4 linked regions of the Elephas maximus indicus genome follow. The protein of the gene in region 2 purifies or fractionates together with the protein of the main gene of each other region. This does not show direct contact. Links are inferred from orthologs where the notes say so. Each region holds a gene or a part of one and is shown on either strand. Other genes may lie near its edges.

Region 1 (7,294 bases), on a different chromosome or scaffold from region 2:
TCAGAAAGGGATGTCATGTTTGGTAAAGGGCCAATGAAAATAAGGGAAACCCATGATGAGACCGAATGACACAACAGCCACCATGATGGACTCTAACAAACCAACTATCATGAAGATGGCACATGACCAGGCAAGGTTTCGTTCTGTTATACTTAAGGTCTCTATGACTCAAGGGCAACTAACACTAACAACATCACTGAGGTGTTCCCTAAAATATCCATTTAGCCTTTGGATAAGGACTACAAAGTACCCATGATAGCGAAGGAGAGATACCAGTGTCTGTGTGTATAGAATCAAAGTATCCATAGAGTCAGTTTACAAACAGAACCTTGAAACTCTTGATGCCAAAAAAAAAATCTTAATTACACAAGTTATCAAAGTTTCTTAGAAAAACAGAAAACTCAGAAAGCAAAAAGGAGCAAAATCTAAAATTTTGTGTTTTTACTTGAAATTTCTTCTCCCAGGTATGTAATTTTGTTGATCTCTTTCCCTATTTTTTTTCTATGTACATGCGCCTAACAATGTGTATACACGAAAATATATAACTAAAAAAAAAAAAACTGAAACCATACTGTACAGTTTTAGTGAGCTGATTTCATCTACTCATACACTGTGAATGTCTTTAAATGTCAATAAGTATATCCCTCCACTACTGCCATACGCTGTGAAACATACCTGTATACCACCACTGGTCTGTCAGTTTTTCGTACTACGGTGGGTTGTATGTTGTTGTAATGCTGGAAGCTATGCCACTGGTGTATCAAACACTAGCAGGGTCACCCATGGCGGGCAGTTTCAGTGGAGCTTTCAGACTAAGACAGACTGAGAAGGATCTGGTGTTCTACTTCTGAAAAAAAAAAAAAAAAAAAAAAAAAACTGGCCAGTGAAAACCTTATGACAGCAGTGGAACACTGTCTGATACAGGAGCCGGAAGGTTGGACGGCACTCAAAATACAACTGGGGAAGAGCTACCTCCTTAGAGTCTATCTTAATGCTGTGAATGGAGTAAACTTTTGGGACCTTCATTTGCTAATGTGGCACAAGACTCAAAATGAGAACAGCAAGCAAACATCCACTAATAATCGAAATGTGGAATGTACGAAGTATGAATCTAGGAATATTAGAAGTTGTCAAAAATGAAATGGAACCCATAAAGATCAATATCCTAGGCATTAGTGAGCTGAAATGGACTGGTATTGGCCATTTTGAATCAGACAATTACATGGTCTACCATGCTGGGAATGAAAAACTGAAGAAGAATGACATCCCATTCATTATCAAAAAGGACATTTCAAGATCAATCCTGAAGTGCAACACTGTCAGTGATAGGATGATATCCACACACCTATATGGAAGACCAGTTAATACACCTGTAATTCAAATATACGCACCAACCACTAATGAGGAAATTGAACATTTTTAACCAACTTCTGTAGTCGAAATGGATCAAACATACCATCACAGTACACTGATAATTACCGATGACTGGAATGTGAAAGTTGGAAACAAAGAAGGAGGATCAGATAGGTGGAAAATAAGGCATTGGTGACAGAGACGACACTGGGGATGGTATGATAGAATTTTTTCAACAACATAAATGGTGACTATACATGTGTGCCTTGCCCAGTGGAATACAAAGGAATCAAATCGACTACATCTCTGGAAAGAGATGGTGGAGAAGCTCAGTATCATCAGTCAGAACAAGGCCAGGGGCCGACTGTGGGACAGACCATCAATTGCTCATATGCAAGTTCAAGTTCAAGGTGAAGAAAATTAAAACAAGTCCATAAGAACCAAAATATGACCTTGAGTATAACCCATGTGAATTTAGAGACCATTTCAAGAAAAGGTTTGACACACTGAACACTAATGACCAAAGACCAGACAAATTTTGGGATGACAACATACATTAAGTAAGCAAAAGGTCATTAAAAAGACAGGAAAGAAAGAAAAGACCAAAATGGACGTTAGAAGAGACGCTGAAGCTTGCTCTTGAATGTAGAGTAGCTAAAGCGAATGGAGGAAATGATGAAATAAGAGTTGTACAGAAAATTTCAGAGGGCAGCTGGAAAAGGCAAAGTATTACAATGAAAAGTGAAGACACCCAGAGTTAGAAAACCAAAAGGGAAGAACACACTCAGTATTTCTCAAGCCTGAAAGAAGGAAGTCTCAAGTTGCAATATTGAAGGATTCGATGGGCAACATACTGATTGCTGCAGGAAGCATCAAAAGATGATGGAAGGGATACACATACGTTCGACCATTTCAGGAAGTAGTATACGATCAAGAGCCAGCTGTACTGAAGGAAGAAGTCCAAGCTACACTGAAGGCACTGGCAAAAAACAGGGCTCCAGGAACTGACAGAGTATCAATTGAGATGTTTCAACAGATGGATGCAGTGCTAGAGGTGTTCACTTGTTTACGCCAGGAAATTTAGAAAACAGTAACCTGGTCAACTGACCAGAAGAGATCCACATTTGTGCCCATTCCAAAGAAAGGTGATCCAATGCAAATGCGGAAATTATCAAACAATATCATTAGTGTAACACTCAAGTAAAATTTTGCTGAAGATTATTCAAAAGCGGTTGCAGCATACATTGACAGGGAACTGCTAGAAATTCAAGCCAGATTCAGAAGAGGACGTGCAATGATGGATATCACTGCTGATGTCAGATGGAACCTGGCTAAAAACGGAGTACACTAGCAAGATGTTTACCTGTGTTTTACTGACTATGCAAAGGCTTTCAACTGTGTGGATCATAACAAATCATGGATAACACTGCCAAGAACGGGAATTCCAGAACGCTTAATTGTGCTCATGAGGAACCTGTACATAGACCAAGAGGCAGTCGTTCAAACAGAACAAGGGTGTACTGTATAGTTTCATGTCAAGAAAGGTGTGTGTCAGGGTTGTATTCTTTCACCATACTTACTCAAACTGTATGCTGAGCACATAATTCGAGAAGCCTGGACTATATGAAGAACATGGCATCAGGACTGGAGGGAGACTCATTAACAACCTGCAATAGGCAAATGACAAAACCTTGCTTGCTGAAAATGAAAAGGACCCAAAGCACTTACCGATGAAGAGCAAAGACTACATATAGCCTTTAGCATGTATTACACCTCAGCATAAAGAAAACAAAACTTTCACAACTGGACCAATAAGCAACATCACAACAAACAGAGAAAATATCGATGTAGTCAAGGATTTCATTTTGCTTAGATACAGAATTAACACCCATGGAAACAGCAGCCAAGAAATCTAACGATACATTGAATTGGGCAAATCTGTCACAAAAGACCACTGATCTAAGCCATGGTATTTTCAATCACCTCAGATGCAAGCAAAAGCTGGGCAATGATTGAGAAAGCCTGAGGAAGAACTGATGCCTCTGAATTATGGTGTTGGCCAAGAATATTGAGTATACCACGAACCATAAGAAGAACAAACAAATCTGTCTTAGAAGTACAGCCGGAACGCTCCTTAGAAGTGAGGATGGTTGAGACTTTGTTTTACTTACTGGACACGTTATCAGGAGGGACCAGTCTGTGGAGAACATCATGCTTCATAAAGGAGAGGATCAGCAAAAAAGAGGAAGACCCTCAACGAGACGGACTGACACAACGGCTGCAACAACTGGCTTAAACAGCAACGATTTTGAGGATGGTGCAGGATGGGCAGTGTTTGATTCTGCTGTACATGGGGCCGCTATGACTCCACAGTACCTAACAACAACTGTTTTATGTTGTGAAACATATCATTATACCTGTATCTTTGTGAATACCCGTAATTATTGCCTTAGAATCAATTTTTAAAATGCAACTACTTAGTCAAAAGGAATATTAGTAATTAAAGTTTTAGAAAGTTTAATTACTACTTACACCTATGGAAAAGTATCTACTATACGCTGAGTAAAAGAAGTATAAAAGAAGGTAGGTGGTATGATCTAATTATGTAAGATCATGTGTTACAAATGCAGAGACAGCTGGAAAGCTGTTTATCAAAATGTTAGTGGCAGTTATTGTTGACTTTTACTTTTTCCCTTGTGTTAAAGTTTACGATTAATAATAATTAAAATGCTTACAATGGGCTCTGAAATCCACGTGAACAAAAAAACCAAACCCGTTGCCAGGGAGTCAATTCCAACTCACTGCAACCCTATAGGACACAGTAGAACCGCCCCCACTAGGGTTTACAAGTAGCAAGAAGTTCCAAAAAACTGCTTTATTAAGGTGTATAAAGCATTTAGAGATGACACTGTTGCAGGGACCAGAAAAACATGCTGTGTACTTTTCTGGTTCTACATCCCTCCCCTATATACAGGTTTTGTTTGAGTTGCCACTATATAGCACTTGAAAACTCTGTTGGCATAGCGGTTAAGTGCTACGGCTAATAACCAAAAGTCTGGCACTTGGAATCCACCAGGCGCTCCTTGGAAACTCTATGGTGCAGTTCTACTCTGTTCTATAGGGTCGCTATGGGTTGGAATCGACTCAACGGCAATGAGTCTTTTTATTTTATATAGCACTTTGTTCAGTCTGCTTAGTATTAGATTTCAGTTACACGGTGTTTATCTTCATCCTTGGAAACCCTGGTGGTGTAGTAATTAAGAGTTTCAGCTGCTAACCAAAAGGCCGGCAGTTTGAATCCATTAGGTGCTCCTTGGAAATCCTATGTGGCAGTTCTACTCTGTCCTATAGGGTCGCTATGAGTCAGAAGCGACTCGATGGCAACGGGTTTGTTTTTTCTTTTTTATCTCCAGCCTTAGACTGAGAGCTCCAGATAGGAACTGTCATTACTCAACTTGGACTTTCCGTAACAGTAAGCACCCTACAGTAGGTACTTAGTAAGTACAGGAAACCTGTGAGAGCCAGAACTTGACAGGACTGCCTTGTTTTTCCAGGTCTCGCAATTTTTCACCTTTGACATGGTGCAGTCACCACTTTTCTATCACTTTCTAAAAAAAGACTCGTTGCTGTTAAGTCAATTTGAACTCGTAGCGACCCTACAGGACAGAGTAGAACTGCCCCATAGAGTTTCCAAGGAGCACCTGGTGGATTTGAGCTGCCAACCTTTTGGTTAGCAGCCACAGCACTTAACCACTACGCCACCAGGGTTTCCCGTCACTCTCAACTTAGTGGAAACCAAGTTTTCCTTCTCTGACAGGTTTACCTGTTTTACAGGTTTTACTGCACTAATTTGCATTTAACTAAGGCCATCTGCTAATTTCTTTAAAAATCCAGTAAGAGGAATGAACATAATTCTAGTGAGATGAGATTTAGTAAGAATATTCACAAGCAAGAAAATTTCAGCATCTGATAATACTTAAGCCTGCTTTTACAAGAGCTGCTCCTAAGCACCCAAAATGATGGACTAACCTGTTTTCCCAGTACATACCATGTAGAATGAGGGGCTAATAAATGAACTATAGAAATCAGAAGGCAGGCAAAGAAGGGATGGTGGAAAGACGTTCAGGTTCAGATGAATTAAGAATAGTATGAACAATCTTTAAGTGAAAAGGAAAACTTCCAATGATTTACTGGAAGCCTGCTGCAGACGGTCAGGCAGTGTACTAAAGATAACAGTCCCTGTTCTCCCCATGAGTTCACAGTATAATCTTAGCCAACAGCTACAAAACAAGGTGAGTGTTCTAACAAAGGTACTGCACAAAATGCGTTCACTGGTGGCTCAGGAGAGAGGAAACAACACAGGCTGAGTGGGGGGAAGGCATGGAAGTTTTCAGGAGATGACACTGATGCTAAGTTTTGAAATTTGAAGAAGCATTAGGCTAGGGAGGAAGTATTCGAGGACAGCATTTTTGTTTGAGGGAACAATAAGTACTACTACAATCAGAGAACTGGAAATAGTTCAGTGCAACTAGAGTTCAGTAGGACATTTGGGAGAGCTACACGACACGTGTCCAGAAAGACAGGCAGGGCCCAAGTGGCCAGTTTGGTATTCTATACTAAGAATATACAAAACAATATTCTGCTGGCCATAAGGCATATTTTTAAGCAAAATGGAGAATTCTTCAGGTCAGTGCTTTAGAAAGCACAGATGAGACAGCAGGAAAAGCTGGAGGCAAGGAAAGTGATTATAAGATTACTAACAGAAGCAGGGAAGCCCTGGTGGTGTAGTGGTTAAGTACTACAGCTGCTAACCAAAAGGTCGGCAGTTCACATCCACCAGACGCTCCTTGGAAACTCTATGGGGCAGTTCTACTCTGTCCGATAGGGTCCCTTTGAGTCAGAATTGACTCAGGGCTACGGTTTTTTTTCCCCCCAATGGAAGCAGGGATTCATACAAATACTAGTACACCAATGCTCACTGCAGCATTATTCACAACAGCCCAAACTGGAAACAACTCAAGTGTCCATCAACAGATAAATGGATAAACAAAATCTGGTATATATACATACAATGTTATTCAGTCATAAAGAGAAGTTCTGACACATACTACAACATGGATGAACCTTGAAAATATGCTGAGTGAAGTAATTCAGACACAAAAGGATGAATGTTATATGATTCTAGTTATATGAAACATCTATAACAGGCAAATGCAGAGAGAAAAAAGGTTATTAGCGGTTACCAGAGGCTGGGGGAACAGGGAGTTACTGCTCAAGGGGTACTGAGTTTCTGTTTGGGATGATGAAAAACTTGGAAATAGTGGTGATGATAGCAGAACACGGAGAATATAATCAATGTTACCGAATTGCACTCTTAAAATGGCAAATTTTTTTTATTATTTATAGTTCACCACAATAAAATTAAAAGAGAGAGAGAAGTCAGGTAAGCAGGAGAACTAAAAAGCCTCTATTGGCTGTACACCAGGCGTCATCAGGGAAAGCAGTCTCAGTGGAGCAGCAGGGCAGACCCTACCCTGCAGGGTTGAGAAGTGACTGGTATGTACGTAGACGGTAAAGAGGAATACTGACGGTGGGGGCATTAACAGAGCAATTTTGTTTTTTTAAGAACTTTAAACATGTTTATAAGCAAAAGCCAACAGAGAAATATTGAAGATGGGGGGGGGGAGGCGGCAGCAGAAAACTCACAGGAACAAGGTCCTTGAGGTGACCCAAAGAGGCAAGATCGAAACCTTTAACAAGAAAAGCAAGTGACTCTTCCTCCTCAGCTGGAGGGAAGGAGCAAAGGATGGGGCAAAGAGACAGACCACCACCTTCTGTCAGTTTGTCATACTGTGGTAGCTTGGGTGTTGCTATGATACTAGAAGCTATGCCACCAGTATTTCAAATACTGGCGGGGTCACCATGGTAGACAGGTTTCAGT
Region 2 (7,313 bases):
TCTGCTTCTATGCCATCCCATGACCCATCACTGTCTTCCTCCAGGCTTATTTTACACCTCTGTCCCTCAGGTCTTGTCTCCGAAAAGCCAGTGACATCTCAGTTTTAGTGACCTCCAAAGTTCGCTCTGTAGTACTTCAAGGTGAGTTCCTTGGGTCATCTCACTCCACTCCTTGCCTTTTTCCTTTACCCACGATTGGATTTTGCCCAGAGAAGGAGGCCCATAAGGCTCTTTTGTCCCCTTGTAGGACTAGCTTCTTCTTCAGTTACCAGAAACTACCCATGAGCTCTAATTCTTACCCTTCCATACTACCTCTGCCTCCCCACTGTAGTTTGTCATCCCTAACCCTACGATTCTCGATTCTCGCCCCTCTGCTCCCTCCCTTCAATCACAGCATGGGTGCTGAGGTTGGGGTGGGAAGGGCAATGCCAAAGCTGGTTTGACAAATGTGACTGTGCCTCCTACATTGAGCTGGGTTTTTCTACTCAGGTGGAGTCTATGAAGTGAGTCATTCAAGATCTTTATTTTCTCTTCACTCCTTCTATGTGCCCTCTCAATCCTACCTAACCCAAAATGTTTCTCCTCTGTGCCTCTCACTTCTCCTTGCCATGTTTCCTCTTCCCATTCTCTCCTGCCCTAGTTTCTTGGCCCCTTTTCTTTGCTCCTTCCCTCTCTTTATCACCCAGAGCTCGGTGATCGTGATCTCAATGGCCTCCTCTCTTCACTCGTCCAGCTGCTTTCAGCCCCCGAAGCCCGAACATTGCTTGGCTTTCAATCACTAGTACAACGAGAGTGGGTGGCAGCTGGACACCCCTTCCTGACCCGGCTTGGGGGAACTGGGGCCAGTGAGGAGGTGAGGATTTGGGAGTGTATTGGGGGGTATTACTAAAGAAGTAAGGGGATGAGAATAATACATAGTATAATCCATTGTAGGAGAATTCGGTCAGAGGATCCTAAGGTTAGGCTGAGATTAGACAGAGACCAAAATGAGAGAGGTCCCACAATCCCCTACTACCCTCAGTTCAGATTTCCATTCCCTGACCTCCTTAGTGCCCCGTTCCTGTGTCCCCCACCCCTCATCATTTTGTGATCTTCCCCCTTAAGTCTTCACCATCTCTTCTAATCTCTTAATTTCCCTCTTCTCAGGCTCCAGTGTTTCTCCTCTTCCTTGATTGTGTCTGGCAGCTCCTCCAGCAGTTTCCAGCTGAGTTTGAATTCTCTGAGTTTTTCCTTCTTGCTCTTCATGACAGTGTCAGAGTCCCTGACACCCTTACGTTCCTGAGAGATAATCCCTGGGAGCGTGGAAAGCAGAGTGGACAGGTCAGTGACTTCCATTTCTGACCTGTCTTTTTTTTTTCCCGTTGAGATGTACTATCTGAAGTTTAGCCTTGATTTGTTTTGAGTAAAGAAGTGTTGGGTGGGGATGAGGAGGTTGATGCTCATTCTCAAGACTGGACTTTTGCCTTATATTTGATTTTTGGAGTAAGAGGTGAGCGTTTCATGATGATTTCTCTTTAGATTTGGGAAAAGGACTGTATTTTTTGTTTGTTTAACCATCCCTTTTCTTGCTTCCTCTGTTCAGTTCAGCTCCTATACACAAGTGTACACCCCACGGAACTCCCAGCCCCTACCTGGGAACTCTGTTAACCAGCAGCTCTCTGTCTGGGACTGGGGTTTACGCTACAGCAATGAACAAATCCTACAATTCCATAATCCTGGCTATGACCCAGAGCACTGCCCAGATTCCTGGCTCCGTAGACGACAGGTGAGGTGTCAGTGATTTCTAAATTCCCCTGACTTTCCCACAGATTCATCCCACTAGACGGGGAAAAGTGGGAAGACAGTATCTTAGTTGCCCATGGGGAGCTATCCCACTCCTGTTATGCAGGTGTCACTTATGAGCCCTGACTGTCCCCAGAAAGACAGAAACCCTAGAATGGCATAGAAGGCATCCTTTCTGTCCTTCTCATCTCTGTTTATTATTCTTCCTGTCTCATGCATTCACTTTTACAGGTTTCCCTAAATCAACTTCAGTCAGTCCTGAGGCCTAGTTTGAACCCTAATAAGGAGAGTAGATAAACAGTTCTCAGGGAGAGGCTTGTAATTCCAATCACTAGTGCAGTGGCAGCTGATGCCTCTTCCTGGCCTAACTTGGGAAAACTGGGTAGTCTGGTTTCTAGGTTGCCAAATGATTTCTCTTTCCCCCCCAGTCACGCTTCATGGTTCCTGGACCCCCCAGTTCTGTGTGGCTCTTCTCTAGAGGGGCCCTGACACCCCTTAATCACCTCTGTCCTTGGCGGGACAGTCCCTCCCTACTGGCCGTCTCTTCTCGTTGGCTTCCTCGACTAGCCATCTCCACTGAAAGCCTGGCTGACCAGGAGTGGGGGCTCCCCTCACATTGGGGGGCTTGCCCTTTACCCCCAGGGCTACTGCTTCCTGGAAATCTGGGACCCCAGATCAGGCTCTGGAAACGCTGCTACCTGAGGGGAAGGCCTGAAGTCCAGGTGAGAAGGGAAGACAGAGGTTGGGAGTGGGAGAAAGGGCTTGACTGTTGAACCAGATGAGCCGGAGTTGGAATGGCAAGGGGCTAGGGGGAGGGGCTGGAAAGTGAGGTACCACTCCTGTTGGTATCAAACTGGGTAGTTTTGGGAGGGCGGGGGAAACTGCTTGTGGCTTAGATCAAGTGGAACCCCAGGCACAGTTGGAAGGAGAAGGAGAATTAAAGACACCGGACGTAGTGTATCTTAGGAGAGGGCTAGAACTGCAATAATATTCCTCTTACCCCTCTTTGCCCCATCCCCAGATGGGCCTGTCAGCTCCCACAATCTCTGGCCTCCAGGATGAGCTATCCCATCTTCAGGAGCTATTAAGGAAATGGACGCCAAGACCACCAAGACTATCTCCTGAAGATCACTCTAAGAAGAGAGACCCAAATACCATTCTCTCTCAACCCTGCTGAAACTGCTGGCATTGTCACAGACAGGGAAGAGGCCTGCCTGGGTTGAGGGAGGGTTCTGTCTAATCCTGATTTTTCTTATCTGGTTTTGCTGCCTCAGCTTCCACACTCCAGCCCTTAAACAAGCTTACTTAGCAGGCCTGAGTTTCCATTGCAGGGGGTGGCGCTAACCTTCTCCAACTCTTGTCCTGTGTGTTTTGATTCCTCGAGATTTTTTGTTTGCTTGTTTCTCGTGATTTGAAGAAATCAGTAAACAAAATCTATAATGTGATCTCCCATTTTTTTCAAGGCATTACCACCTCTTTTGGATATCAGCTGTTAAATTGTGAGATCAGAGATGCTGGTCATCATCCCAACAAGATGGCCTAGTGACCTCATTCTTACCCCTCTTGCTGCTTAATTCCAATTAATATTTCTTATAGTTCTCCATGAGAATGGGGTGGATATGGGAGACACCCTGCCTCCTCCAGCTGTGTATTTTTGCAGTGACATTTGTATTTAAAAGGTTGATTAAAGCACGGTATTTATACACGTTGCTGGCATTTATCTGAATAGATGATTCTAGGTAGCAAAGAGTGGTGGGTGGAAGGTGGGTGTGACCCAAGAGAGGAAGGCACCCACCATATTATTACGAGATAAGAGAATGGAGTCAGGTGAGGGTCTGCAGAATTCACATGTAATTTGGCAAAAGGGGTTCATTTCTCTGTGCCTCCCACTTTAGGGGTAGATGTGGCAAGAGCTGGGGAGCATATCAAGAGTTGTTGTTGGGCTAGTGTGTTCAGGCGGCTGAGACAAGGCTCTGGGCTTCAATCCCAGCCACCCCTTGGCTTTGGTGTCCCATCATCCCCCTGCAATAACGGCTAGCCGAGCTTCGACGTCACTCCCCGCTCAGACATTCCGCAATACCCGCCCGAGGGAAAACAAAATACCTCAAGCCCAGGCCGGAGCTGTGAAGCCGAATCTGGCGAGGGCTGCGAGCCAAGGTGGAAGGCAGCCGAGCCCTTGGGCGCGGGTTCCTCAACACTTTTCTGAAGGAAAAAAGATCACCTGGCTACAAGATACATGAAAAGCAGTTTTGTTTCTAGCTTTCAAATTTACATTTTCGGGAGCAGCTGCATGGTTTAACCTCTAGCACTGCTTTACGGGGTCTGAACGTTTCCGTTTCCCCTCCCAGCTCGGGCGCTCGCAGGCGCGGCCCGGAGCAAGACCAACACCCCACAGCAAGAGTATCCCAAGCCGCGCCCAATCTCGGCGCCTCCTAAGATGGCTCCGGCCGCTTCCGGCTCCTCTCCTGCCGCGGCCGCGCCCGCCACCCTACCACGGCCTCTGCCCCGGAAGTGGAAGACGCGACTGCGGTCAGGGGGCGGGGCTGCTGCTTGGAGACGGCGGGAGCTCGTTCGCCATGGCGGCCGGGCCGATCTCTGAGAGGAATCAGGGTAACTAGAGGGGACGAGCCCGGAATGGGCACAGGGGAGCTGGGAGGCTCCGACTAGAGCCAGCAGGGTCACTGCCGGGGCGAGTGACTGGATCGCCTCGTAGAGCGCGGGACCGGCAGCCATGCCTGCCGGGGGCGGGGTGGTCGGGTGCTTGCTGAGGCCTGTATGTGTGATGCCTTCTGTGCCCAATTTCCTCTTGCCTTCCCACTCAAAAAAATACAAAGTCCACGGAGAAAGGTAGAATTTTCAATAGAACACGGTGTTGGACTTCCGAAGATTCTCTAGGTCCTGGGAAGAAGGGGATTTAAGGGCTTGATCTAACATCTTTTTTTTTTTTTCTTTTTGCTCTTATCCCCTAAACCCACCCCCAGTTATCTTGCCTGAATTGCATTTTCATATTCTTGTCCCCTTCATTTCTTGTTATACTCTCACACCTACCTTAACCTTCACTTTTCCTTCAGATGCTACTGTGTACGTGGGGGGCCTGGATGAGAAGGTTAGCGAACCACTGTTATGGGAGCTGTTTCTCCAGGCAGGGCCTGTAGTCAACACCCACATGCCAAAGGATAGAGTCACTGGCCAGCACCAAGGTGAGTACCTAGCAAGACATGCATTTGTGTATTGAGGGGATGTAGTGGTCCTGGTGGGCTCTGTAGTAGTCACAGTGTTTGTAAGGAGTAGCGTTTAAAGAATCCTTTCTTTTGAACCTCAGTTCATAATTTGTTTCCAGAACCATTCTCATTGAAGTGAGGTTTTTTTTTTTTTCTTTCTTGTTTGTGCCTTGGTGGGGGATGAGTTTTACCCCCTTTCGAGTCTCTTCACTTCATTTGTTAACCTTCCCTTTTTTATACACAGGTTATGGCTTTGTGGAATTCTTAAGTGAGGAAGATGCTGACTATGCCATTAAGATCATGAACATGATCAAACTCTATGGGAAGCCAATACGGGTGAACAAAGCATCAGCTCACAACAAAAACCTGGATGTAGGGGCCAACATTTTCATTGGGAACCTGGACCCAGAGATTGACGAGAAGCTGCTTTATGATACATTCAGCGCCTTTGGGGTCATCTTACAAACCCCCAAGATTATGCGGGACCCTGACACAGGCAACTCCAAGGGTTATGCCTTTATTAATTTTGCTTCATTTGATGCTTCGGATGCAGCGATTGAGGCCATGAATGGGCAGTACCTATGTAACCGCCCTATCACTGTGTCTTATGCCTTTAAGAAGGACTCTAAGGGTGAGCGCCATGGCTCAGCAGCTGAACGACTTCTGGCAGCCCAAAACCCACTCTCCCAGGCTGACCGTCCTCACCAGCTGTTTGCAGATGCACCCCCTCCACCGTCTGCCCCCAATCCTGTGGTATCATCGTTGGGGTCTGGGCTTCCTCCGCCAGGTAAAGCTTTTGATTCAAAATGTGTTTGTCTTGGGGTTGAGGGGACAGAAGGGTGGAAAAGAACGGAAAAAAGGACAGCAAGTCAGTGGGTGATGAGGGCATTGGGGGGGGTGATGGTTGTGGTGTGGAAGAAAGTTGTTGGGTTTCTCCAGGAGAGTGAAGTTGTTTGAGTTGTCTAACACTGTTGCTGGCTTTAAGAGAGCTGGGAAGAGGGGAAAAGAGGTCATCCTTCTTGGAGAGGTCTGATTGGCACAAGCTCTCTAAAGATATCATCTTCTCAGTACTAGTAACTCTTCTTCCATTTCTTCTTTAGGTATGCCTCCTCCTGGCTCTTTCCCACCCCCAGTACCACCTCCTGGAGCCCTTCCACCCGGTATACCCCCAGCCATGCCGCCGCCACCTATGCCTCCTGGGGCTGGAGGACATGGCCCCCCATCAGCAGGAACCCCTGGGGCTGGACATCCTGCACATGGACATTCACATCCTCATCCATTCCCACCAGGTGGGATGCCCCATCCAGGTGAGTGTTCTTTGCTGGGAAAAGAAGGGATGAGCTTGGTAGAGGGGTTTTGTTATCACTCCTGCTGTTGCCTTTTGTCCCTCAACAAAAATAGGTAGTTCCAGAGCTCTCCTTTTTTTTATGTAAACAAAAACAAAATACTTTATATTGTTTACACTAACATGTGCTGCCACGGTTCCATTTCTTATTTAAGTTTTCCTGAAGAGTAACCTAAACTTGCAACTTTTTGTTTCCTTAACTTTTACTTGTATTCTTTCCTTTCATTTCCACCCCAAAAGTGACCTATTTCCAAACCTAGGGGACCCTTCTTTTTTGCTCTGACCTCTGCTGTACATGAAACTGGCCGTGTTCTTTTGTTTGAAATTCTTGTCTGGTTTGGCTTTTGTTTTTCTGGATTCTCCTCCACCTCTCTCTGACTTCTCAATCTCAGCCTCCTTCATAGGCTCCTTTTTCCCTGCCTGCACCTAGGATCTTGTGCTTGGTTCTCTTTTCCGCGTATTTTTATATTTTTCATTATTCATTGATACTTTCTAGGTCTGTTTCTTTAGTCCATGGTTATTAACATTCCAGACCCATAATTCTCCTGTTTAATGGACAGCTAGCTGTACTGTGCTACCCCTTTGGTACCTTAAACCAAACATGACTAAAAATGAAATTTTCTACTCCTTCCCTTCAGACCTACTTTTTCTGTCATATTCTTTGTTTTCAGATGCTTAATTCATAAATTTGGGAGCTGTATTAGACTATCCTCTATTACCCTGTTCTTAGAATCTCTGGCATCTACCCACATTGCCAGTGTCCTGGTTCAAGCCCTCATTCTTTTATTTCACACCTAAGTTATCATAGCAATCGTGTAACTGGTCACTTTCACTCCAGTTTTCTCTGCCTTTGATCTGTCTTTCATAGAATAATTTTTCTAAAACATGGGTGTTCACATACCCTTGGGTTAAAATTCTTCTGTTTTTCCCTTTTACCTGTAGAGTAAAATCCAAATTCATTACCA
Region 3 (7,528 bases), about 7.4 Mb from region 2:
TCCTATATACGGAATTCTAGGAGAATTTTGAATATTGTTATGGTCTAGAGCGGAGGTTGCAAATGGCGCTCACGGGCCAAATTCAGATGGCAGGCATGTTTTGTTTGGCCTTCACTCTCTACCTATATTTTATTTCATTTCCCGCATTAAAAAATTAGCAGACGACACGTAAACATCTCAATTTCTGGCTTTTCTTGAAATATCGGAGGAGCAGGCAATATCGGTCCTGCAGCCCCCATAATCAATCAACTGGAACAAATTACTCCTCAGCTCCTTTGGATGAGCCTAGTTCATCCAAGTTCCTACCCTGCTTCACTCATTCACATCACCTGCCTAGTCATGGTAGGAGTTGTTTTCAGACTGACCTAGCACGTAAGGTGTTTGCACACGGGAATGACTGAGGAGGAGAAGCTGCTGCTAAGGGCAGACCCTGAAAGCTTTTGTGTGACTGTGTTAGTTATCTAGTGCTGCTATAACAGAAATACCACAAGTGAATGTCTTTAACAAAGAGAATTTATTCTCTTACAGTCCGCTAGGCTAGAAGTCCGAATTCAGGGCGCAGCTCCAGGGGAAGATTCTCTCTGTTGGCTCTGAAGGAAGGTCCTTGTGATGCATCAATCTTCCCTTGGTCTGGGAGCACCCCAGTGCAGAAACGGCAGGTCCAAAGGACGCACTCTGCTCCTGGCGCTGCTTTCTTGGTGGTATGAGGTTCCCCTGTCTCTCTGCTTGCTTCTCTCTTTTATATTTCAAAGACATTGGCTTAAACACTATCTAATCTTGTATATCTCATCAATATAACTGCCACTAATCCATCTCATTCCATCATAGTGATAGGACTTGCAACACATAGGGAAATCACATAAAATGGTGGACAATCACACAATACTGGGACTCATGGCCCAGCCAGGCTGACAGACATTTTTGGGGGACACAACTCAATCCATGACAGTGATAGACTAAGGATTGCTTAATGTCTGTATCCTGTAAGGGGGGCTCCAGAGGCAGTGGAGGTAGATAGGAGATGTTTCAAAAGTAGAATCAATTAGATTTTTGGGAAGGGAAGACAGTTTACAAATAACTGAGGCTGGGTGGGGATGAAAACAATTTTAGTCTGTTGAGTTTGAGAAGACTGTGGATACCCAAATGGAGGTGTCTCATTAGCTACTAGGTTAGTGGAGCTGGAGTCAGAAGAAATGACTGGACTAGATATACAGTTTAGCCCTGAGTTGTTATGCAAATGATGCACGTATTATGTTTTTGCCAACGGAGCAACCCCCTTGCACGTTATTTTCCTAGGCAGTATGTGCGTTATATGTGTGGATACGTTATTTAGGTGTGCAGGTTATTTGCGAAAAATATGGTTATTGAGCTCCTCTTTCAATATCGCTGGACTAAATAACTGAGCTGGAGACAACTACAAGTGCTGAAAGAAATATTTTTTCAAAAATCAAAGAACTAATAAGATAGTGAGGAATTGTTGGTCTGAGAGATGAAAGGACAAGAAAACAAAGAGCTGAGCCCAGCTGTAGGGCTGTTTTTGCCCTGGGTTCATTTGCTGATCCAGAACTGGTGGCAGAAAATAGGCTGGCGGGCTGTTGTTTTTCTTAGCTGCTTTTCAGTGGATTTGACTCATGGCGATCCCATCTACAATGGAATAGGAGGTTGCCCGGTCCTACACCATCTTCACGATCCTTGGCATTCTGGAGTCCATTGTTGCAGTCACTGTGTATTCTGAGTGCCTTCCAACCTAGGGGGCTCATCTTCCAGCACTATATTGGAAACTATTCTGTTGTGATCCAGGAGATTTTTACCGGCTAATTTTCAGAAGTAGATTGCTAGGCCTTCCTTTCCAGTCTGTCTTGGCCTGGAAGCTCCACTGAAACCTGACCACCATGGGTGACCCTGCTGGTATTTGAAATACTCGTGACATAGCTTCCAGCATCACAGCAACATGCAAGTCACCACAATATGACAAAGTGACAGACAGGTGGTAAGGCTAGTGAGACAAAAATTGGAATGCAAATATCCCCAAAGGTGAGGACTCTGGTAAACTACCTTCCTGTTTTAGGTTAGGACCGACCCCGAAAGGCTGGACTCCTAGGGGAAATTTAGGAGAAGAGTTAACCTGAAGTAAATAGATTACTTTTGTGGGAATGGGACAGTGCTGTATTTCCAATAGTATGGTTCTTTGATTTGACATTAAAAGCTATATAATGATTCTTATTTCATGAAAGATGAGCTTTTATTAAAAAAAAAAAGTAAGTAGAAAATCCAGAACCAAAATATTCAAAAGCCAAAATTAAGGATCAATCGATACATTTAACAGCAGGTTAGACTTGATTGAGGATCAATTAGTGAATTGGAAGAAAGGACAGAAGAAACTACCCAGAATAAAGCATGGAAAACAAACGAACAAACAAAAAAGAAAAGGAAAACATGAAAGAGACATAGAGGATACTGTGAGAAAGGCCAACACACCTTTACTTGGAATTTCAGGAAGGAGAGAAATAATAGAGTAGAAGCAATATTTGGAGAGAGGTGGCTGAGAAGTTTAAAAATGCATGAAAGGCGTCAAGCCATGGATTCTTGAAGCTCAACAAACCTCAAACAAGGTTAAGAAAAAGAAAATCCATACCTGGACCCAGCAGAATAAAACTGTAGAAAACTAAATCAAAGAAAAAATATTTAAAAAAGAAAAAAAAAAGGATAGATTACTTTCAAAGGAGCAGCAATTAGACTGACAAGTGTTTTTTCTACAGCAAAAAATGGAAGCCATAAGACAGTAGAATAATATTGTAAAGGTGCTGCAAGAAAATAACTTTCAAGCTTGAATTCCATACCCAGAGAAAATATCCTTCAGTAACAACGGTGAAATAAAAATATATTCAGACAAACCAAAACCAAGAGAGTCAGCCACCAGTAGGGAAGCACTGAATTCTAAAGGGTATTCTTCAGGCGGAAGGAGTATTACCCCAGATGGAAGGTTGGAGATGCAGGAAGGTATAAAGAGCATTAAAATGGCACACATATGGGCTCCTCTAAATGACCATTAATTTAATAAATAAGTATTAAAGTCTTCTGAGACTTAAAATATAGAATTTAAATACTGTACATATACACACCTACACCTACCCGAGATTAATGAATGTATAGGACCCCAAGAAATCTTTTACAAAAATGTTCATAGCAGCTTTACATATATGACCTCAAATGGAAACAACCCAAAAGTGTTTGCATGTCTCAGCCTGTTTTCGGTCCTGACATCATCAACAGGAGAATGGATAAACAAATGGTGATATATTTACACAAGGGAATGCTATTCAGAAATAAAAAAGAATAAATTGTTGATCAATGCAAATCTGTGCGAGCATCTCAAAACGAGTTGAGCGAAAGAAGCCAGGCATAAAAGAGTACATACAGTATAAGTCCACTTATATGAAGTTCAAGGACCGACAAAAACTAATCCATAATAATAGAGATCAGAATAGTGATTGCCTCTAGGGGCAGGGCAAAGGGGTGTGAAGTGATTTTCGGAGGTCATGGAAATGTTCTTTGTTTTAACCTGGGTGGTGGTTACATGGGCATAATACATTACTCAACATTAAGAAGTAGAAAAAAATGTATGTAATTTTCAATTGATGGGGGAGGGAGGGACGGAATAATAAACGTTACTCTATGAATGCAAAAGAAGGCAAGAAAGGGGAGAAAAGGGATTACAGGTGAGACAACAGAGAGCACATAGTAATACGATGGATTTAAATGCAAATACAGTAAATCCGTACATGTTGTTGACGAAACCTGGTTGAAGGATGAAATATTCCAGAGAATTTGTAAAGTGAGGCGAGAACTGGAGCGAAGCTGGAGAATAGGGATGGTTCGCTACTTTTCTCCTTGCCGCTTCCCAGGGTCCCATCATCTGAGTCATCTCTCCAAGACGTGCTTCTGTTTTCTTTGTAATCCCTCACCATTCAGGGTTTTTCCTCTCTGAAATTAGCTTCTCTTGTCTCAAGTTTCTAGCTTTCTGCACTGCTGCCTGAAATAGCTAAAATCCCCATCTCACTTGCTAGTGTTAAACACAGCTTCCGAATGCCGCATTTTTGAGGCAGGAGAAATTAGAAACATGAAGCTCACATCTACTAAAGAAATTGAAATAACGCAAATTCTTCTTGCTGGGGCAATCAAAAAGCTTCCGGATAGCAGAGGATGGTTTCGATCCATCGACCTCTGGGTTATGGGCCCAGCACGCTTCCGCTGCGCCACTCTGCTACCTGGTAAGGCTGTGTCACAAAACTCATATAGAAAGTTTTCAATGTACTGGGGGGGGGGGGGGGGGGGGGTGTCTGATTTGTTGCACAGCGCCATCTAGCGTCTGTTCAAAAATTGTAGCCTTTGCTGTTAAACCTGCTCTTATTGGCTGATTCCTGACACACCATGCTTTTTTTTTAATTGGTTCTCCGGTTTGCCAGGATAAACCAATAGGCGTAAGCGATGGGGTAAGGCGGGAGCCAATCGCGCCGGGTTTTGTTGGGACACGCCGGCAAGCGGCCTCCACAGTTGTTGGCTCCTCGGGAGGGAAGAGGCGGTTTGTGTGGCCTCCATTGTTCGGGATTTAGGGCGCCATGAGGTAAGGGGGCCAGGGTGCCCTAGGAATGTTTTCAGTATTTGACTGGAATTTTGGGGAAGTCGGAGGAGCTGAAGAGGCCGCATATCGGAGGGCTAGCCTACGACCTGATAACTCCTGTCCTGGAAGACGGGGAGGGGTCGGAGGCCGGTCGGGTCGGGAAACTGGGGCCTGGGAATGGGGTGGGTCCTGGAAGTGGGGAGGCGGGTTTGACACCTTCGTCCTTTAGGGGCTTAGGTAACGGGGGTGTGCTCAGGTCCCGGGAGGAGTACCCCCCATTGAGACTGAGCAGGCTGGAACGTGTCGCATTCATCCTCAATGCCAAGTGCTTGATAGAGTATATGCGCCTATGTTATTGATAGTCCCAGAAGTATTAGGATTGGCGTGTCCTAGGGATTATGGTGTGTTTCTCGTAGGGCCTCGGTATCTGGGCCCCGTCATTACCTGGCGTATGGGTTGTGATTATCCAGAATGAGGAGGTCCTAGGGGAGGGGCTGGGGGAGAAGTGTAAATGATTGGGATGGGGGTCGCTTGACTTCCCAAGGGAGGTTTAGAGCGATGGAGGCAGGCTAGCTTGAAATGATGTGGCTGGTAGAGTGGAGATGCTTTCATTGAAGTCAAGAGAAAATAAAATCCTCTTATGCATTTCTAGGGGTGACAGAGGCCGTGGTCGGGGTGGGCGCTTTGGCTCCAGAGGTGGTCCAGGAGGAGGGTGAGTGCCAGTTTTTAACATCTTTGCACTGGTTGGTTCCTGTTTGAAACACCTAAATAAGAGTAAATGGTCCGCTTTTGTGAGGTCCATCTATGGTTTAGCAATACATGCTGTCCTGTTAAATGATGAGTTTGACCCCACTTTCCTAACAAGGATACCCCCCAGCAGACTCTCACTGATTCGGAGGACAGACATGTTTTCAAAATTCCTCATACATTATAACCACGATATATGATCATATTTACCAGTTGTCAGTGGTTGGGTGAAAGGTTGGGGTGCAGTATGCAATTATAATTTTGAGTGATCATTTTTTTCTCTCAAAGTTTTATATGTTTAGGAGGCTCAGTGACCTCTGGAATGCTAAAAGATGTACGTACCTCTTGATTTCAGCATGTAAGAGGTGCTAGAAAACCAAATTTTTGGAAGGAAACATAAAAACATTGTTTTGGCTTGTGCCAGAAATCTCATTTGATTTGATTTCTATGTTGTGAATAATTTAGACTATTTTTTTTTGTTTTAGGTTCAGGCCCTTTGTGCCTCATATCCCATTTGATTTCTATTTGGTGAGTACTACTTTGGGTTAATATGAGTTTCTTGGCCACAGTTTATCTGTAGATGTAGAGATGGAGCCCAACATCTCCCTGTAATGAAGTCAAATGGTGGGTAGAGTAGGAAAAGGGGTCTGTGAATGGGTATGGGGTTTTGTAGATTGCTTCACATAAACTGTCAGCAGGGTGAAGAGAGAATTCTTTGGCTACTGTTGTCAGTAATATGATTATAATCTTTATTTTGGATAATTAATTGTATTCCTGGCTTATCTGTTAATAATAAGGTAGTTTAAGCTTAAATTATGGCTGTTGCTTACAGATTGTATCCGTGTATTAACATCTTCAGGAATAAAACCAAGTGCCGAATTTTCTATTTTCATTTTTTCTGTTGTAGCAGCAGAAATAAGTCTTTCCTGTATATCATTTTTGGTAAATAGAACATGTAATAGTTGTTTATTTCTGGTTCAGTGTGAAATGGCCTTCCCCCGGGTCAAGCCAGCACCTGATGAAACATCCTTCAGTGAGGCCTTGCTGAAGAGGAATCAGGACCTTGCTCCCAATTCTGCTGAACAGGTATGTTCTCTTGGCTTCCCTTCTGAGATTTCCCTGAGAAGGTTAGAAAAGTAGATATGGGTGAGTTTAAAAATAATTTTATCAAAGCCTAAACCCTGCAGAAGGTTTAATTATTCTCATTTCTCATATGAGTGGAAACAGCCAGGTGAATACATGAACAGATTATATATGCAGTCAGATTTTTATTGGGGGAATCTATGGGATCAAAATTTGTTCTGGCATATTGAAGGCCAGCAGGGTCAAATTGTTTTTAAAGCCCTTATGTTGGTACTGGAACCCTGGTGGTGAAGTGGTTAAGAGCTTGGTTACTAACCAAAAGGTTGGCAGTTCAAATCCACCAGATGCTCCTTGGAAATTCTATGGGGCAGGTCTGCCTTGTCCTATAGGGTCGCTATGAGTTGGAATCACTTCATCAGCAATGGGATTTTTTTTAATGTTCGTACCGACTCAGCTTGTATAGAAGGGATTAGAGAAAAATACTCAAACCTTGAGAAACTGTAATTTTTCACTTTAGGTTATTTTTGTTTCATGCTGTTTTTCAGGCTTCTATCCTTTCTCTGGTGACAAAAATAAACAATGTGATTGACAATTTGATCGTGGCCCCAGGGACATTTGAAGTGGTGAGTTTTTGTTGATTTAGTTCTAGGAAAGGGCGGGCTTAGTACCATGGATGTTTCCTTGGCTCCTGTCTGAATTCTTCAGTTGCCTTTTATCCAAATCCCAGCCTAAAGTGGAAGAGTACAGTGGCATTCCTTTGTAGTACTGATCTTGGAAATGAGACACATACCATCGTTATCAGTTATCCATGATTTAGCAGGCTCTCATGTGGTTGTTTTGGGGATATGATTTGATCTCTGCTGCATCCAGATCTGGGTAATAAAGAAGCTTGTTGTAATAGAGCTCCAAAAAGAACAAGGCAGACTTTTTTCTTCTAAATTTTTCTTCCGCAATCCCTTTTCCAACAGCAAATTGAAGAAGTCCGACAGGTAGGATCATATAAAAAGGGAACAATGACCACAGGACACAATGTGGCTGACCTGGTGGTAATCCTAAAGATTCTGCCAACATGTGAGT
Region 4 (7,455 bases), on a different chromosome or scaffold from region 2:
TTGGTGAGAATGAGTTCTGTCAAACAGGGGAGAGACTGATCAAGTCCCTCACCTATACGGCTAAAATAAAAATAATGGCTCTTTTAATAAAAGTGAAAAGTCAGTAGGCTAATGATTGATCTAAGTCCTTATTCCCTCCGAGGGTTTCAGACTCCAGCCTTGGAAGGAGCCGTGGGGATCCTTCTTCCAACCCCCTATCTGATGGGGAAGTGAAGCACAGGGAGGAAATCATGCTCAGGCTCTGAGGGCAATGGCACACTGGGATGACTTAGAGCCCATGCCTCCTACAGCTGCCTAGGGCTCTTTCCATTTCTACAGCTCCCAGTGAAACCTAGGAAAACGAGAGAGTCCTGAGTAAAACATACTACCAAATAGTCCTCTTCATAACTTTTCTGTGTGTGCACCACAGAAATTCACAATTCTGCATTCATAGCTCAGCTACAAGGCATACAACTATATCATAAGTGAATGGTTAATTTATGAGAAATGTGCCTATCTGAAAAAGCCAAAACCACACCACACAGTACTTCCTAAAAACGTTATCTACAGACTTTCATTAACTTTTTCCTATATTTGCACAGAGCCGAAAGACAATCAAAGAAGATTTCAGTTTAAATAAATGAGTAATATTCTAGAAATCAGGTGTAGCTAAATACAGACAGAAGAAGACACGAAGTGAGAGAGATACTCAGCCAAATCAGACACTGACCATATTCTGTTATTGTTCACCAATAATGTTTTCAGTCTTCTCAACAGAGGAAAACCATCCAGTTTCCTGATTTCATTGTCAGAAAAATCAATAGCATCAAACTGGTCTAAGGTAGCACCTAGATTTTCAATGACAGGAATTTTGTAACCTGTAAAAGGGAAGAAAAAGAGAGAAAGAAAAAACACAAAAGGTTATCACACTATCATAATTAAAATGCACCTTGTAACATTAGCAACGTTTCATGGTAATTTGACTCAAAGCTTTCATTCACTGATGAAGTGTTTACCTAGCACTTAGGATGTGCCAAACGTTGTGCTAGGTATTGGAGTTAAGATGTTGAACAAGGGAGCCACAGGCCCCGGCTGCTATGAAGCTGACAGCCTAGCAGTGGACATGGAGATGATTACGACAATGAGAATGAGGACTTACTAATAATACCAATAACTACCATTTGTAAGAATATTTACAAGGTGCTTCCCACTATTCAAGTAGCGTAAGTAGTTTTAGTCATTTTGACCCACAAGTTAAGTTTTAAGTTTTTCGTCCATTAAAAATGAGATGAAGAAATGGAGGCTCTATGATTTAATTAAGGTCCTAGAGCTAATTAAGTGGGGTAACAGGAATTTACACTTTGAGCTACCAACTATCAGTGTCCGACCCTTGTTCAAACATTGTGGACAACAGTTCTCAGCCTCTTTTGCATTAACACAGGCCAGTCCCCTAGAACTCATCATGACATCATGGTCCCTGCCCCTAACTGTAGTGATTCTGACAGGTGTGCAGTGATACTGCACTCCTGCTTTAATTTGTTTTTCTCTAATAACTAATGAAGTTGAACACCTTCTCATGTGTACTGTTCATTCCAACAACTTCTTTCACAAAGTACACAGCTCCACTTCACAGTTGTTTATACACAATGGTAAATCATACTGTGTAACAATTTGCTCAAATACTCACTGACTTGTGGGCATAATTAGGTGCTAGAAAAAAAGAAATAAACCCAGCTAGAGATTTACGGCCTTGGAAACCCTATGGGGTCACTATGAGTTGGAATCAGCTTGATGGCAGTAGTTTTTTTTTTTTTTTAGAGTTTAAGTACATAATTCAGAGCTGTTAAGAATTACACCAGAGTAGATACTGCCGTGTATATTCTCAACGACAACAATAAAACGTATTATTGTTTTTTAAAAAGGTAAGTATTGCACCAAAACAAGTATTCTCAACACTGGGAGAACTTCAGAAACAGAAGGTAGAGATCCACATGCACAAAGATAGTGGAGGTGGTGAGTTACCACTGAACTGAGCCTTTGTCTAAAGAATGGGAATTTCAACATAATGAAAGCACTGGAATTTCCCAAAAGTTCGGCAAAGAATCTAAGCAGAAAGGAGCTGAGCCAGAGCACTGATGCTCCCCCGAGGGTGTCCTGTGCGGGCAAATCTCAGACCAGGATTGGAGAATGGTGATCCCCAGAGAAGCTGCTCTTCACATCCCTTCTAAAGCCATCTCCTGAAATGCCAACTAGTTAACTCGAGCTCCCCACTTCTTGAGAAGCCTAACTAGGGGTGAAAGACCCGCAGGGATCGGAATAGGTCCACGGGCTTCTACCACGTACACCACGGGATTCAGTGAAGGGGCCAGGCCCTGCGGCGGTGGTTAGAGAGACCCCGGAGCAGGTCAAACAGTTCAACACTTTTTAAATGTTTTGACAGAAGGCAAATAAAGCTAACAAGAAGACTGGAGAAAGGGAACAGTGGCTTTGGTTCCCGAACCTTGCTTCCTTCCGCATAAACTAGGGATAACGAGCGCGCATGCGATCTATCCTAACGTATTTACTGACAAGCGATCCCGCTCGCCCTCCACCCGAGTCGGACTTGCCCGGCCCTCAGGGTCCCGACTGCCAGCCCCGCCGCACACGGCCTCACCGGGGCCCGCGGGGACGGCTCAGGACGCACCTGATTCAGCCGGGTGCGTGCGAAGAAGCGGGGTCGACGGACACCTCGGGGGAGCCTACTGCGCGGTCTGCTGGGCGGCCGCCGGGCTGTCCCAGCGCCCAGCCCGGCCTGGAGCCCAGAACGGCGGCGCACGCGGCGGGGCGCGACCGCGAGGTCTCCGTGCCGCCTGCCCGGTCCCCGGACTCACCCCGGAGGTCCAGCTCGCGGTCCCGCACGGCGTTGGTGTACTGCGCCGCCTGCTCGATCAGCTCCGCCGTCAGCTTCACCATCCTGCCGCCACCCGCTTCCCGGCGCCCCGGCCCGCTGCTTCCCGCCGACGAGATCTCCCAGCGTGCCCCGCGCCCCGCCGCCAGGCAGCACCGATCGCAGCCGGCGCATGCGCGCGCAGCTCGTCGGCCAGGCCGAAGCAATCGAGAGGCCACGCCCGCGGCTCGTTCTTTCCGAAGGTGCTGACGGGCGTTGAGGCCGTATCCGGTTTGGGGTTACTTCCTGGGGCGTAGCTGTACCATGGAGGGCTCCTGGTTCCAGGCGTTTGTGCCCCATGATCATAAGCGGATGATCCAGCTCAGGTGCTCATACTGTGTCCCGGCCCGAAGCCCAGCACCAGGACAGGGACCTTAAGCCCTGGACCCTTCCCTGAATCCCGTGGGTCCTGTCCCTCCAGCTACAGCTGGCCTCACGATATACACACTGTTCTCATGTGTATAGTGTTCTTTCCAATTGCTTCTTTCCTGAAGTGTCTATTTCCGGTCTCTCTCTCTCTCTTTTTTTTTTTGGCCCCCATTGGGTTGTCTGCCTTTTCATTATTGATTTGTGGTTTTTTTTGGCCCCCATTGGGTTGTCTGCCTTTTCATTATTGATTTGTGGGAATTCTTTATATATTCTGGATACGAGCACACTCTGTGGCGTGTCTTTTTCACTCTTAATGCTCTTTTTTGATGATGAGAAGTTTCTAACTTTTATGTAATCCAGTTTATACTGTCGTTTATGATTAGTGGGTTGTATGTGTTTTGCTTAAGAGATTTTCCTCACCCCCAACATATTTTCCTATAGCATCTACTAGAGGCTTACTTGATTTACGTTTCACATTTAGCTCTACAATCCACCTGGAATTGATTCTTTCAGAACTTTTTATTGAAGTGTGATGTACCTACAGAACAAACAGAGTACACCTAAACAGCTGACATCCAGATCAAGAAACAGGATATTACCACACCCTGGAAGCTCCCCTCTTGTCCTCTTCCAGTCACTAACTACTGTACTGGGTTGATACAGCCTCCCCCCACCATCCAGAACCTCAGAATGTCATCTCATTCAGAAGTAGGGACCTTGCAAATATAGCCAAGTTAAGATAAAGTCGTACTGGATTAGGGTTGGCTCTAAATCCAACACGACTGGAAGGAAATTTGGACACAGACACAAAAACACAGAATGCCGTGTGATGACAGAGGCCAAAATGGGAGTGATATCTATGAGCCAAGGATTGCTGGCAACTACACGGAGCTAAGAGGAGACAAGGAAGGATCCTCCCTAGAGCCTTTAGAGAGACCATGGCCCTACTAACACCTTAATTTCAGAGTTCTAGCCTTCAAAACCATGAGAGGATGAATTTTTTTTTTTGGAGAAAAATGGGTTTAGCATTTTAAATAGACGTTATTTTTAGAGATGTTTTAGGTTTACAAAAACAGGGTTCAGAAAATAATTTGAATTTACCCATCCCCTCCCCACATTGTTTCTCCTATTAATATCTTGCATTCCTGTGATATATTACAATTGGCGAACCAATACTGATACATCATTATTAACAAGTCCATAGTTCACATTAGGGGTCAGTCTTTGGGTGGCATGATCCCACAGGTTTTTAAAAATTGTGGTAAATATGCGTAACAAAATATTTGCCATTTTAACCATTTCAAAGTGTACAATTCAGTGATTTTAATTAAATCCACCATGTTGAGCAACCATCACCACTATTCATTTTCAAATGGTTTTCATCCCCCTTGTTGTTGTTGTTAGGTGCCGTCTAGTCGGTTCCGACTCATAGCGACCCTGTGCACCACAGAACGAAACACTGCCCGGTCCTGTGCCATCCTTACAATCGTTGTTATGCTTGAGCTCATTGTTGCAGCCACTGTGTCAGTCCACCTCGTTGAGGGTCTTCCTCTTTTCCGCTGACCCTGTACTCTGCCAAGCATGATGTCCTTCTCCAGGGACTGATCCCTCCTGACAACAGGTCCAAAGTATGTAAGATGCAGTCTCACCATCCTTGCCTCTAAGGAGCATTCTGGCCACACTTCTTTCCAAGACAGATTTGTTTGTTCTTTTGGCAGTCCATGGCATATTCAATATTCTTCACCAACACCACAATTCAAAGGGGTCAACTCTTCTTCGGTCTTCCTTATCCATTGTCCAGCTTTCACATGCATATGATATGATTGAAAATACCATGGCTTGGGTCAGGCGCACCTTAGTCTTCAAGGTGACATCTTTGCTCTTCAACACTTTGAAGAGGTCCTTTGCAGCAGATTTGCCCAATGCAATGCGTCTTTTGATTTCTTGACTGCTGTTTCCATGGCTGTTGACTGTGGATCCAAGTAAAAGGAAATCCTTGACAACATCAATCTTTTCTTCGTTTATCATGATGTTATTCATTGGTCCAGTTGTGAGGATTTTTGTTTTCTTTATGTTGAGGTGTAATCCATACTGAAGGCTGTGGCCTTTGACCTTCAACAGTAAGTGCTTGAAGTCCTCTTCACTTTCAGCAAGCAAGGTTGTGTCATCTGCATAACGCAGGTTGTTAATGAGTCTTCCTCCAATCCTGATGTCCCGTTCTTCTTCCAATAGTCCAGCTTCTCGTATTATTTGTTCAGCATACAGATTAAATAGGTATGATGAAAGAATACAACCCTGCCGCACACCTTTCCTGACTTTAAACCAGTCAGTATCCCCTTGTTCTGTCCGAACAACTGCCTCTTGATCTATGTAAAGGTTCCTCATGAGCACAATTAAGTTTTCTGGAATTCCCATTCTTCGCAGTGTTATCCGTAGTTTGTTATGATCCACACAGTCGAATGCCTTTGCATAGTCAATAAGACACAGGTAAACATCCTTCTGGTATTCTCTGCTTTCAGCCAGGATCCATCTGACATCAGCAATGATATCCCTGGTTCCATGTCCTCTTCTGAAACCAGCCTGAATTTCTGGCAGTTCTCTGTCGATATACTGCTGCAGCTGTTTTTGAATGATCTTCAGCAAAATTTTGCTTGCATGTGATATTAATGATATTGTTCTATAATTTCCACATTCGGGTGGATCACCTTTCTTGGGAATAGGCATAAATATGGATCTCTTCCAGTCAGTTGGCCAGGAAGCTGTCTTCCATATTTCTTGGCATAGACGAGTGAGCACCTCCAGCGCTGCATCTGTTTGTTGAAACATCTCAATTGATATTCCATCAATTCCTGGAGCCTTGTTTTTCACCCATGCCTTCAGAGCAGCTTGGACTTCTTCTTTTAGTACCATCGGTTCCTGATCATATGTGACCTCTTGAAATGTTTGAATATTGACTAATTCTTTTTGGTGTAATGACTCTGTGTATTCCTTCCATCCCCCTACCCATTTTCAAATGGTTTTCATCTCCCTAAGCAGAAACTGCAGCCCAAGTGGTGCAGTGGTTAAGTGTGTGGCTACTAACCAAAAGGTCCGTGGTTCAAACCTACTAGCTGCTTCTTTTGAGAAAGATGTGGCAGTCGGCTTCTGTAAAGATTTATGGCCTTGGAAACCCTATGAGGTAGTTCTACTCTGTCTTACATGCTTGGCATTTCTCAAGCTGAAAGAACTGAAGAAAAAATTCAAGTTGTGAGTTGCAATGTTGAAGGATTCTTTGGGGAAAATATTAAACAATGCAGGAAGCATCAAAAGAAAATGGAAGGAATACACAGTCACTGTACCAAAAATAATTGGTCGACGTTCCACCATTTCAGGAGGTAGCATATGATCAAGAACTAATGGTACTGAAGGAAGAGGTCCAAGCTGCCCTGAAGGCACTGGCGGAAAACAAAGCTCCAGGAACTGACAGAATACCAATTGAGATATTTCAACAAACAGATGCAGAGCTGGAGGTGTTCATTCATCTATGCCAAGGAGTTTGGAAGACAGCTACCTGGCCAAACAACTACAAGACTTGATCCATATTTGTGCTCATCCCAAACAAAGCTGATCCAACAGAATCCAGAAATTACCAAACAGTATCATTAATATCACACGCAAGTAAAATTTTGCTGAAGATCATTCAAAAGCAGTTGAACAGTACATCAGGAGGAAACTGCCAGAAATTCAAGCCAGGTTCAGAAGAGGACATGGAAGGAGGGATAGCACTGCTGATGTCACCTGGATCCTGGCTAAAAGCAGAGAACACCAGAAAAAAGATGTTTACCTGTGTTTTATTGACTATGCAAAGGCATTGTTGGACTGTGTGGATCATAACAAATTATGGACAACATTTCAGAGAATGGGAATTCCAGAACACTTAATTGTGCTCATGAGGAACCTGTACTTAGACCAAGAGGTAGTCATTTAACAGGACAAGGGGATACTGCATGGTTTAAACTCAAGAAAGGTGTGTGTTAGGGTTTTATCCTTTCACAATATTTATTCAGTCTGTATGCTGAGCAGATAATCTGAGAATCTGGACTATCTGAAGAAAAATGTGGCGTCAGCATTGTAGGAAGACTCATTAACAACCTTCGATATGCAACTGATACAACCTGGCTTCCTGAACGTGAAGAGGACTT

Evidence for each region.
Region 1: the proteins of SF3B4 (region 2) and DDX42 purify together in Homo sapiens (affinity purification with mass spectrometry; 3 studies listed by BioGRID and IntAct, with this or other methods). This does not show direct contact. The link is inferred for Elephas maximus indicus from reciprocal best matches to the Homo sapiens genes SF3B4 and DDX42.
Region 3: the proteins of SF3B4 (region 2) and ILF2 fractionate together in Homo sapiens (co-fractionation; 3 studies listed by BioGRID, with this or other methods). This does not show direct contact. The link is inferred for Elephas maximus indicus from reciprocal best matches to the Homo sapiens genes SF3B4 and ILF2.
Region 4: the proteins of SF3B4 (region 2) and SNRPA1 purify together in Homo sapiens (affinity purification with mass spectrometry; 3 studies listed by BioGRID and IntAct, counting the BioPlex papers as one, with this or other methods). This does not show direct contact. The link is inferred for Elephas maximus indicus from reciprocal best matches to the Homo sapiens genes SF3B4 and SNRPA1.

The regions. Positions count from the first base shown.
Region 1 is NC_064837.1:54,987,336-54,994,629, reverse strand, and holds the start of DDX42 (ATP-dependent RNA helicase DDX42), read right to left. Parts: upstream 3,021-7,294; 5' UTR 3,014-3,020; coding exon 2,934-3,013; intron 848-2,933; exon of another isoform or gene 676-847; intron 1-675. UniProt on the Homo sapiens protein: ATP-dependent RNA helicase that binds to partially double-stranded RNAs (dsRNAs) in order to unwind RNA secondary structures. Unwinding is promoted in the presence of single-strand binding proteins.
Region 2 is NC_064821.1:184,069,576-184,076,888, reverse strand, and holds the start of SF3B4 (splicing factor 3B subunit 4), read left to right. Parts: upstream 1-4,308; 5' UTR 4,309-4,358; coding exon 4,359-4,392; intron 4,393-4,853; coding exon 4,854-4,982; intron 4,983-5,247; coding exon 5,248-5,790; intron 5,791-6,103; coding exon 6,104-6,310; intron 6,311-7,313. UniProt on the Homo sapiens protein: Component of the 17S U2 SnRNP complex of the spliceosome, a large ribonucleoprotein complex that removes introns from transcribed pre-mRNAs.
Region 3 is NC_064821.1:191,504,755-191,512,282, reverse strand, and holds the start of ILF2 (interleukin enhancer-binding factor 2), read left to right. Parts: upstream 1-4,517; 5' UTR 4,518-4,619; coding exon 4,620-4,624; intron 4,625-5,273; coding exon 5,274-5,333; intron 5,334-5,853; coding exon 5,854-5,896; intron 5,897-6,349; coding exon 6,350-6,454; exon of another isoform or gene 6,455-6,487; intron 6,488-6,996; coding exon 6,997-7,074; exon of another isoform or gene 7,075-7,323; intron 7,324-7,419; coding exon 7,420-7,522; intron 7,523-7,528. UniProt on the Homo sapiens protein: Chromatin-interacting protein that forms a stable heterodimer with interleukin enhancer-binding factor 3/ILF3 and plays a role in several biological processes including transcription, innate immunity or cell growth.
Region 4 is NC_064831.1:93,106,366-93,113,820, forward strand, and holds the start of SNRPA1 (U2 small nuclear ribonucleoprotein A'), read right to left. Parts: upstream 3,003-7,455; 5' UTR 2,932-3,002; coding exon 2,850-2,931; intron 858-2,849; coding exon 710-857; intron 61-709; coding exon 1-60. UniProt on the Homo sapiens protein: Involved in pre-mRNA splicing as component of the spliceosome. Associated with sn-RNP U2, where it contributes to the binding of stem loop IV of U2 snRNA.